Saccharomyces cerevisiae S288C: one gene and its partner. The gene in region 1 interacts genetically with each later gene. Each region holds a gene or a part of one and is shown on either strand. Other genes may lie near its edges.

Region 1 (5,175 bases):
ACTAATATAGACGCACGAGTTTCGTTCGCGCGTCTTGGTGAGATTGAAAAGTTATTTTGCCTTTCTTGTCGAGATGATGGTATTTCCCTTTTTTATTTAACATTCATTAATTCCTACCTGTAGTTATCAACCTTTACAGCAACGCAAGTGAAGTGGCTTACTATATAAGCGTAACTCCAATGTGCTTGGTTAGTTTTGGAAAATTTCAAGGCGTTGTTGCAGAATTGTACCTTTAAACATGTCTACAACAACTATGTGGATGTAGCATCTCTATCATGACGCAAACGCAAACATCTCTCTCTCTCTCTCTCTCTAAGTCGCATGTTAAGGCCGATAGTACTGGTTTAACAGGGTTTGCCAAGGCCTCAATCGTTAAGTTAGCTTCTCCACTTTCCCCAGCATCAATCTTATGGTATGATCAACAATCTACGAGGAATTGCAGAAATGATACCTGTATCACAAAGGAATTTGCGTATCATAGCGTCAACTGGAACCATGGATGGAGCTGAGAATTTATTCCTCATAAACGAATTCAAGTTTCTTTCGCTCTGCCAACACAAAAATTTCAATTTCTGTCCTACTTATGTCCTATGAGAGCCATAATTTACACCTCACGTACATAGTTGCGGTAATATGATAAGTACACTTTTTCTGTGCTTCATTATCGTAGCGATAGGTATACCACTCATCGTAAGTGTGGACGTAGCGATGGAGGTTTCTGTGCCATTACCACCACAACCATTCTACTCTTGTAGTGATGCCGCCAACGTGGAATTATGTGGTATCGTTGTTATCTGCCGTTGACTACCCTCGGTCCAACCAACGTAAAGGCCAATCTCACTTTCTAAGAAGGTCTTATCAGGGTTGATACGGACAAACTCTTCATAGCCTACGTCGAAATCAAATTCTGCTGAAGCTGTGATTGTAATCAAACCTAAAATGGTAATTACTGCTCGAAAAAAAAGTAGAGAAATTCATGGTTGACGCTCAAGTTCAGGGATCTGAGAAAATCTTTTATTCGTACGTCCCATGTGCTCGGTCATACTATGGCTGCTATATATACAACATGGTTGTGGAGAATTTACGCAGGATGTGCCTACTACCTTGGGAGCTACTAATGTCGTATATTTCAAGTGTCTGCATGAAGACTGCATTATAGTCCCTTCAGAGTTTTCTTTGATCGTTTACAATGATCATGGTGAAAGGATTATTTCTGTTATAGCTGGCACACGACAGTCACCTATATGGTAGTTACTAACTAAATATTGCTCAAAGTCAATTCCCAACAATGGGAAGCATGCTGCGATTTTAACAAAGAAGCAGCAGTACCCAGATACGGAACTGGATTAGACAGAGGAGGAAAATCATAAGGTACACAAAATTTTTTGGGCTTTAATTTCTCAAAATGTTTGCCGGTAAACCTGTACATTCTTTTTTCACCATCAGTCTATCTTGTAATTAAGTCTTTCATGTAGTATTGAATCTGCAATATTTTTTAACCAACTATCAATTTTCGTGTCAACAAATTACTCTTTACCATGTAGACAGCTACTGATTCAGGCGCACATGAAGACCTATTCGCTTATTTAACAAATATTAGCGTATTTTTTGAGACTATTAACGTGTGTAGACCTCCAGAGGCTGCACTCTAAAAGCCCCCAGGGATATGTCTATACTGTCCTTTGAGAGTTATACGTATGAAAAATAGTAAGGAGACGTCTCTAAGCGTATTTAGAATATACGCTAAGAGTGACTAATGTAGGTAAGTGCGCAGTAATGGCTGGTAAACTTTTTTTTATACTAGTGCCATGTTGTACTGAACTTCAATTTTACAACTAAACTATGAAGCAAGTATCTTATCTTGGGGTTGTATATTTCAATTAAGTGGTTTCGTGGTCTAGTCGGTTATGGCATCTGCTTAACACGCAGAACGTCCCCAGTTCGATCCTGGGCGAAATCATTATTTTTTTGAATTTTTATATTAGTTTATTTACAGGGATAGATAATGAATGATAAAAAATGAATAGAACGTACTCTGCGCAAGCGCATATATATATATACTATTGTTGCTTCCAATTTATACAAGATCCCTTAATTGTTCCTCTAGCTTTTTATCTTGTTTCCAATTATAAAATGCAGTCGCTGCACCGCCAAATAAAACAAGGTTGAACACTATCCGCATTCCCGTGTACCCTACGTTCCATTCGTTGCCCTTGGATCTGCCACCACAGGGTCCATAAGATAAGAAATACGCTGCTTTGGTCTCCTCCAGCGGTATATGTCTCCAATCTTCTTGCATCCTCCATCGTAAGTATTCCTTGATTTCATCCCTAACTTCAGGTCGTAGAGTGGGCCATAACTTCGTTATATTCGTAATCTCTACTACCGGTGGCTGATAAGTGCTGAAAGATCTTTTCAGTGCTAGCCGAATACCGTTTCGTCCCATCATCTTCTGCCTTATTTCTACCTATGTTGAAATGATATCTTTTGGGTGGTCTTCTCTTTTCTTTGACGCGAAATTTGAAATTGCAAATACTTTTCGAAGAAGGATGCAAGTACACATAAAACGTATACTGTAAATAGGCAAAACATAAGCAGTGAGAGATATCCCTGCATATTCAAGGTTTACAATGACTTATGAACAATTATACGTACGTTGCCTGTAACGCTGGTTGATGCTATTCTTTTGATGTTTTTAACAACACACAGGACAATGAATAGTTCCCTTCCTGTTTTCTAATTCATAATTACTAACAAGTATAGCCAATTCGCCTTCTCGGCATTTGTGTAATCACTTAAGAAAGAGTTCCATTCCTCAAAGAGCTTCCAGCCATTTATCCACTTAGACACTCAACCAAAATTTGCAATTTGTGGTTTAATCGTTACATTAGCTGTATTATCATCTGCCCTGTTCGCCGTCGGTTCTAAATCTTCATACATTAAGAAACTCTTCTTCTACACAATTTTAAGTGTAATTGGCAGCTTGTTTGCTGGCTTGACCACTGTTTTTGCTTCGAATTCTTTCGGTGTCTACGTCTAGTGGCTCTTCGTTGGCCTATAAAGGAATTATCGATGAAATTATATACTATACTTAAGAAGTATTTTGGATGAGAATATTAAAAAGAAAGGTGTCAAGTAAATTTCATTATATAAACGGTTTAAGACATATTAATATGCGATTTTTGGGAAGATAATGACTGATATCACATGGCTTTGTTGTTTGAAGGTGCTTGTTTTATGCTCATAAATTCAACACATCTTCGTCGAAGTTAATAGCTTTGTAATATCTTGGATCTGAAGAGTTGGTTGAACCGAACGCGTTATACTCAAGTAATGTAGAAAGCATAGCTCTAGTGTTTGATATTACATTCTCTAATGCGCATTCGCTATCCTTATGTAAAAATGTTAGTATTGTGTTGTTACTAACTTGAAATAATCTCTCTTGTAAGTATTCGTCACTCAAATATCCTGATATCTCCTTTGGTGCCTCCACAAGTGGATTGGAATATGCTAACAATGCAGAGACATTACTCAATTGTCCACTAAACCTATCCCTCAAAGATTGTGGAATTTTAGTATCGTAGATAAATTCATTAGATAATTCTTGACCCTTCAAAATTAAATTTTCAATTTCGTCATCATCTTTGGATGAACTCTTTTTAATCATCACCAGATAATTCGCTAGTTTTAACTCAAATACCAATTCTAGATTATTTTTTAACAGATCTGGAATTTCGTTATCGATATAATTGATGCATTTGCTAATTTGACCTTTGTTTATCAAGTATCTTAATTCTTGCCTTATCTTTACCATACGTTCTTCTTTCATGATCTGTCTTTCATTGTGCCTGATAACATCTTTACTTTCAGAATGTTGCCCATTGACATTAACCGCATCTTTTTGCAAATCTTTCAAAAACCCCTTTGCAACATCCACCAATCCTTCGTGGATCAAATAATCATTTATCATCACGTTTAATGTATTAGGCAATGAACCGTCATCCACGCTTAAGTTGTTAATATTGTTCACGTCTGGTCTAACTAGCTTTCCATCTATAAACCTATTATCTTCTCCCAAAAGAAACTTCAGATTGTTGTCCTTCTCATCGTTAAGCTTCTTTGTATCCTTATTACCAGCGGCACCATCCTCTTGATCAATATCCATCAAATCTTCATTAACGTTTGTTGATTTATTTTCTTCAGGCCCATTTTCAGTTTCATCTTCCTCACTTTCATCAGAGTCGAATTCTTCAATTGAAACGTCCATTTGGCGTCCACGACAAATATGCTCATACGCCAAACTCTTCCATTTATCTTGATATCCAATAATGTCAAATACAAAATCCTCATTTAACCCAAAATTTGTTTTGATAGAATTCCCAGGTCGTAAGGCCACATATGGGACGAATTCTAGATCATTCAAGTCGGTGAATGCGTTACCTAAATGGATACCATTCTTCGTGAAAAAAATTGAGCCATCGATAAAATTTATGCCACAACCAATAACGTCATCCCTACCAAAAGGCTTAGCATATTCCTTAGATTGTTCTGTAGAATTAGTTATCAAACCGTCAAATCCGCAATAGCCAAATACATTAAGATCAAATCCGTATTTCTGACACTTATTTATGGAACCATCCACGTTAAGAGACATGGCTGAAACGCCCCCTTCATAAATATAATCACGCCTTTGAGTACCTTCCATAGTGAAAGAAGTAGAAGGTACTCTATTGGAACTCATGTTATTACTACCACCTAAGCTACTACTAGAACCGGCCACGCTTGAACGAGAAACACTCTTTTTTGTAGTCGCTTCCATTAATTCATTCTCTACTAACTTGTATCCGATAACAATGTTACTATTTTCAGCACTCTCTGTACTCGTTACACTGAGAACTTTAATCTCGTAATAGAATATAGTTAACTTATTGTCTGGCAATGACTTATTTGCCCAAGTGACTGCAAAGTCCACTTTCCCAGAGTTCTCAAAAGAGGTTCTCAGTCTATTTCTGGTAGAGGCAGAAGAAGCGCTTGATCTTTCATAAGTCATGTATGAGTGATAATCAGGATTAGGTTGTAAATGAGTAATACCATCTTGAGATAGCTGCAAGCTGTTATTTGGTTGAGCTTGCCATCTAGAAGGTAAAAAGTACCCAAGTATTTTGTAAATATCAG
Region 2 (4,571 bases), on another chromosome or scaffold:
TTCCATTTCATCTTCTTCCTCTTCATTGCTTTCATCTCCTCCACCGTTCTCTTGCTTGTTAACACTTGATTCATGAACGTGAAACCAGTTATCCAAAGTTGGAAAGTTGGAAACTCTGCCAATATTTAAGCGTCCTGAGCTCGATATTGAACAAACACCGTTGATTGCAACATCTGCGTTAACAAATTTGGAACAACTTAGCATGTTTTGATCCTTTAACTGCCGTATGGTCCACACATTTTTCCACGTGTAGCTTACCCATGTAGAAGAGGAATGGCAAACCACGCATGACATCCATTTAGCTCCACTACTATTTATTTCTTCTTCTTCTTTTTCATCATCATCGTCTTCTTCTTCTTCTTCTTCTTCCTCATTATTTAGTGATACAGATATCTCACGCAAATACGAAAGGGAAACAGGCTTCAAGCCAAGGAATCGCCTTTTTATGTCAGTGAACGATCCGTCAACATCCCCTATATGAAATTTCATGTAAACGCCATTTTCTAAACCTACATGCAAATTAAGCTGTCCTATTGAGGAATCTCTAACCATTATCATGTCAGAAATCTTTTCACTAACTAATTGCAAACTTATTACAGTTAAAAAATCTTCCTTTTGGTCTTTAAGAGACATTATTTTGATCATACCCTCATTGTCAGCAATGGCTAATAAATCAGCATGCTGCGTATCTTGCACAATCGCAACTTTAGAGGGCATTGTGTCCAATTCTGGGTGGGTGGTTAATTCGATTAACGAATCCGAAGATACATCTATCTTGAAATAAACCAATTCGTAATTTGATAATGATATAATTAGTTGTGTTTTCGAGGACGTGGCACATACAATACGAATTCCCGCTGGTGGCACCCAAGTCAGCTTATTAGAATACCTAGATTTACCAGTCGGTACGATATGTCTTAGTTCTGCGGTGCATACTTGGATAATAGAGTGTGAGCCCATTAGGCATGTATGAATTGTTGTGTCCTGAGAGAGCTTGAAAGCTGAACGCGTTGCTTCATCCGGTGTTAGTTCCTCCATGGACTCGTTGTCAATTTGTAGTATCATAGTTTTCTTGGGAAAAGTTATGAACAAAAGAGTATTGTTATCGCCGGTTGTTGCAGGATCGGGTATTAGCCATAACTTGGTTGCGTTCGGGGGTAAACTAGTAGATATCAAATTAGAGTAATTCACAGCATTTGTTAAAGTTATTATCTTGTTGTTTGTAAAATGTTTAGTGGCGATAGACAGTGGCGAATCACTGACAATTTGAGATTTTATTGAAGGGTTCAAATTCAATTGTTGCGATAATATGCTCAAATTCTGCAACTTTATGGATGGTTCGAAAACTAGCGACTTATTTGGATCTTTTGAGGTTAAAACATTAGAAAAATCATTTTTCTCTACACCAAGTTTCTCAAACTGGAAAAGAAAGTTGTTATTCATTTCAGATAGTGCAAAAAGATAACCGTTTTTGAAAATGTGTAATTGGTGTGAATTTTGGATTGTATCAAAGTAGGACAATTGAACTAAAGGTCTATTTCTATCATTAGTGTCTGGACTTACAGTTAACTTAAAAAGATCGCCATGGTTAGATTGTAAAAGTACGAAAAAATCATTTTTCAATTTCTGCACTATGCCTGATATGATTGTTACATTTTTATGACGGCTATTTGTGATAGATCTTTTGGGTATTTCCACTTTCAGGCTGAAAAATCCGTTCATATCCTTTACCAGAATATGATTTTCGAAGCCTATGACAACAAAAGGGTTGAAAAGGGTATCATAGTCAGCATCATAGTTGTTGTCGCTTAGCGAAGTTGTTATATTATATCGCGATAGATCTGGCAAACTCAGTACGAAATTGGCAGATGGGTTAACTAAATAATCTGCCTTCTTGACGATGTGATTCAAACCCAACTCGAGGACATAAAATATCAAGTGTACTGATAGTTGAGTAGCGGCATTGTCGATTTCTAAGGTAACAAAACATGGATTATTGAAATTTACATCAACAACTGCCATATCCAGCGTTACCATATGGGGTCTGATGATTTCCAATGGAGACGAAATCCTCAATTTTTGAGCATAATCAACGAGGAAACACAATTTATTTTGTTCGACAGATGAGAGAATGATACAACGCCCATTAGGGTCAATTTCCATGTATGATATGGGAGAGACTCTTCGAAGGGTGGTCCTCGTCAATGGCTGGTTCACTAAAGTCTTAAGTCTAAGAGCACCTGCATGCATAATGATTTGCACGATACTTAGGTTACCAGAATCGGAAGTTAGCGCTAGAAAAGTGGGCCAGTTGGAAGCTTTTGCCCTTGACCCTGAATGCGGCAGATCCAGCGACTTCATCGAGGTTATCGTCGCAAACAGGTTTTGAAACTTGGCAATAAGCTTTAGTTCCCCATCTGCAGTATCATAAAGTTCTAAATGCGTCTCAGTAGCTACGCACAATTGCGACTGCTCACGCTTGGACCCTGCTTCCAGATCGACGAAGTGTCCGATGCAGGAGTGCACGAAATTCGTCTGTTTCTTTAAAGTAAGATGGTACAAGTATAGCTCATCATCTTTAGCAACCATTGTTATGTTATGGTCACTCCTTGTTCTTCTTTCAGCCTCTCGTTTTAAACCGTCATAAGCCATCGTTGTGCTAGCTTGCCCAAATAGTTTACGCATCTTCGCCGTGTGGGGCGACAAGCTTACTACTGCCATTTTGCCACCTCCCCACATTTAATGATGGAAAATATTATAAAAAAGCGAGAAAAGAAGCTAATGGTGCCATTGTTTTCCTTTTTAGAGAGGGGCAGCAGAGATCGGTGGACTTTGTTTTGATAGAGGGCGATTGCAAGCATGGAGATTTACATTAGACTTAACGCAGATGTCGAGCACGACTATGCGTTTCAGGTGTCAAATGAAGACACCATAAATAACAAAATTAAGAAGATTTTCCCTTCCAAGACGGGTTTGGCGGACTTAATGGTGCTGAGACCATCAATTTTCCATGAGAAGGAGCCCGTAAAGTTCTATAAGTCTATCCATCCAGGGTACCTGTCCGAAGGTGGTTGTTTGATGTTCCATTATGAAGCTGATAACGAAGAAAATCTCGAGGAGTTGAATGACTCCAAGCCGCTTATTGACCAGTTGTGGCCTGGTCAGCTAGTTGTTCCGGAGTGGAAGCTATCCAAGAAAAACATATGGGTATACACCATTATTATGTTGGCCTGGCTATATACCGATTTGCCCGACGCCATTTCTCCAACCCCAGGTATTTGTTTGACTAATCAATTGTCTAGACTATTGATTCCTGTAGCCAAGCACATGGATTTACCTGAAATTGCCGCTAAACTCGAACAAGAAGTTCAGGCAAACTATTCTAGTCTCGTAGCTCAATGGCTTTTCTTTGTCATGCACATTTTCAAAGTGGGCATAATTACTTTATTCCTCAAATTAGGCATTGCCAACCCCATCAGCTTCAATCCTTACAAGTTATGGAGTTTGAGAGATTTAACTTCTCCTTCTGCTAACGGCGCTAAGAATTCTGGCGGCAATAACAACACTACTGACTTAAAGACACGTTTGCGCTCTCTGGGCTGGATTGGTGCTAAGAGAGCTACTTACGACGATTACCAGACTAACTATTACAACTATGTCATAGATAAGATGGGTGGTGCAGTTGCTGCTTATAGAGCGGGCGCGATTAGGAAAGCTGCAGCACCAGGTATCCAACTTGTGGCTGGAGAGGGTTTCCAAAGTCCTCTAGAAGATAGGTTCACTGCTTCCACTTTCACGGCTATTAAAACCGAACGGAAATTCATTTTAAGTGAAGAATACTTTGTGGAGCTGGAAAACAATCTAAAGAAGATCTTGGAAGAGTATGACGGGGATATTGGTAAGATGAATGCTGAAATTAGGAGGTTTAGAAGGTTTGGTATTTATGAACCAGATGAAAAACTGGCCTCGCTAGTTAAGCTCAGAAGAGAAATTGCTGATGAGAAAGAGAAAGCATCAAACAATGATGCTACTTTTGGTATAAAAAAGAATGATTTGAAAAAATCTAATTAATTGTAAAACCAAAACACTACCATCCAGACTTTTTTTTTATTCAACCATAGCCTTTAACTACTACTACTACTACTAGTACTACTACTATTACTATTACTATTACTACTACTAGAGGGCCTTTTTTTACTCCTAGTATTTTTGTACTATCCTATTTACTCTCGTTGTTTTTATTAGTTTTTTCACTCTTTTTTTCAATTCCTCACGAATCTACTGTTTTCGTAGTGCTTTTTTTTGTTTCATTGTTTATAGCCATCAATGGTTTTTGTTACTATCATTATCATTATAAATATTTCATACAATATATACAATATATATACAATAAATGAGAATCGATTTACTTTTAATGCATTTTTGCAGTCAAAAAAAGCTTCGTTTACATTTATATGTATTTATGTTTGTATTTCTGGGGGAAATATGCCTTTATGGGCGTATATACTCTTTCGTACGTTTCTACATCCGAGTAGCAGTAGTAACTCGGTATTGTGCTTTCGTCGCCATAA

Evidence for each region.
Region 2: mutations in MTC3 (region 1) and GSF2 together harm fitness more than expected from each alone (negative genetic interaction), as found in Saccharomyces cerevisiae (one large-scale study listed by BioGRID).

The regions. Positions count from the first base shown.
Region 1 is NC_001139.9:70,614-75,788, reverse strand, and holds MTC3 (Mtc3p), read right to left. Parts: upstream 2,450-5,175; coding exon 2,078-2,449; downstream 1-2,077. Other genes in the region: OST5 (dolichyl-diphosphooligosaccharide--protein glycotransferase subunit), read left to right, coding at 2,631-2,651, 2,801-3,040; glucose-induced degradation complex subunit VID30, read right to left, coding at 3,242-5,175. UniProt on the Saccharomyces cerevisiae protein: May be involved in telomere capping.
Region 2 is NC_001145.3:175,567-180,137, forward strand, and holds GSF2 (Gsf2p), read left to right. Parts: upstream 1-2,859; coding exon 2,860-4,071; downstream 4,072-4,571. Other genes in the region: U2 snRNP complex subunit RSE1, read right to left, coding at 1-2,739; pheromone-regulated K(+) transporter PRM6, read right to left, coding at 4,451-4,571. UniProt on the Saccharomyces cerevisiae protein: May be involved in the secretion of hexose transporters from the endoplasmic reticulum. Involved in secretion of GAL2 and HXT1.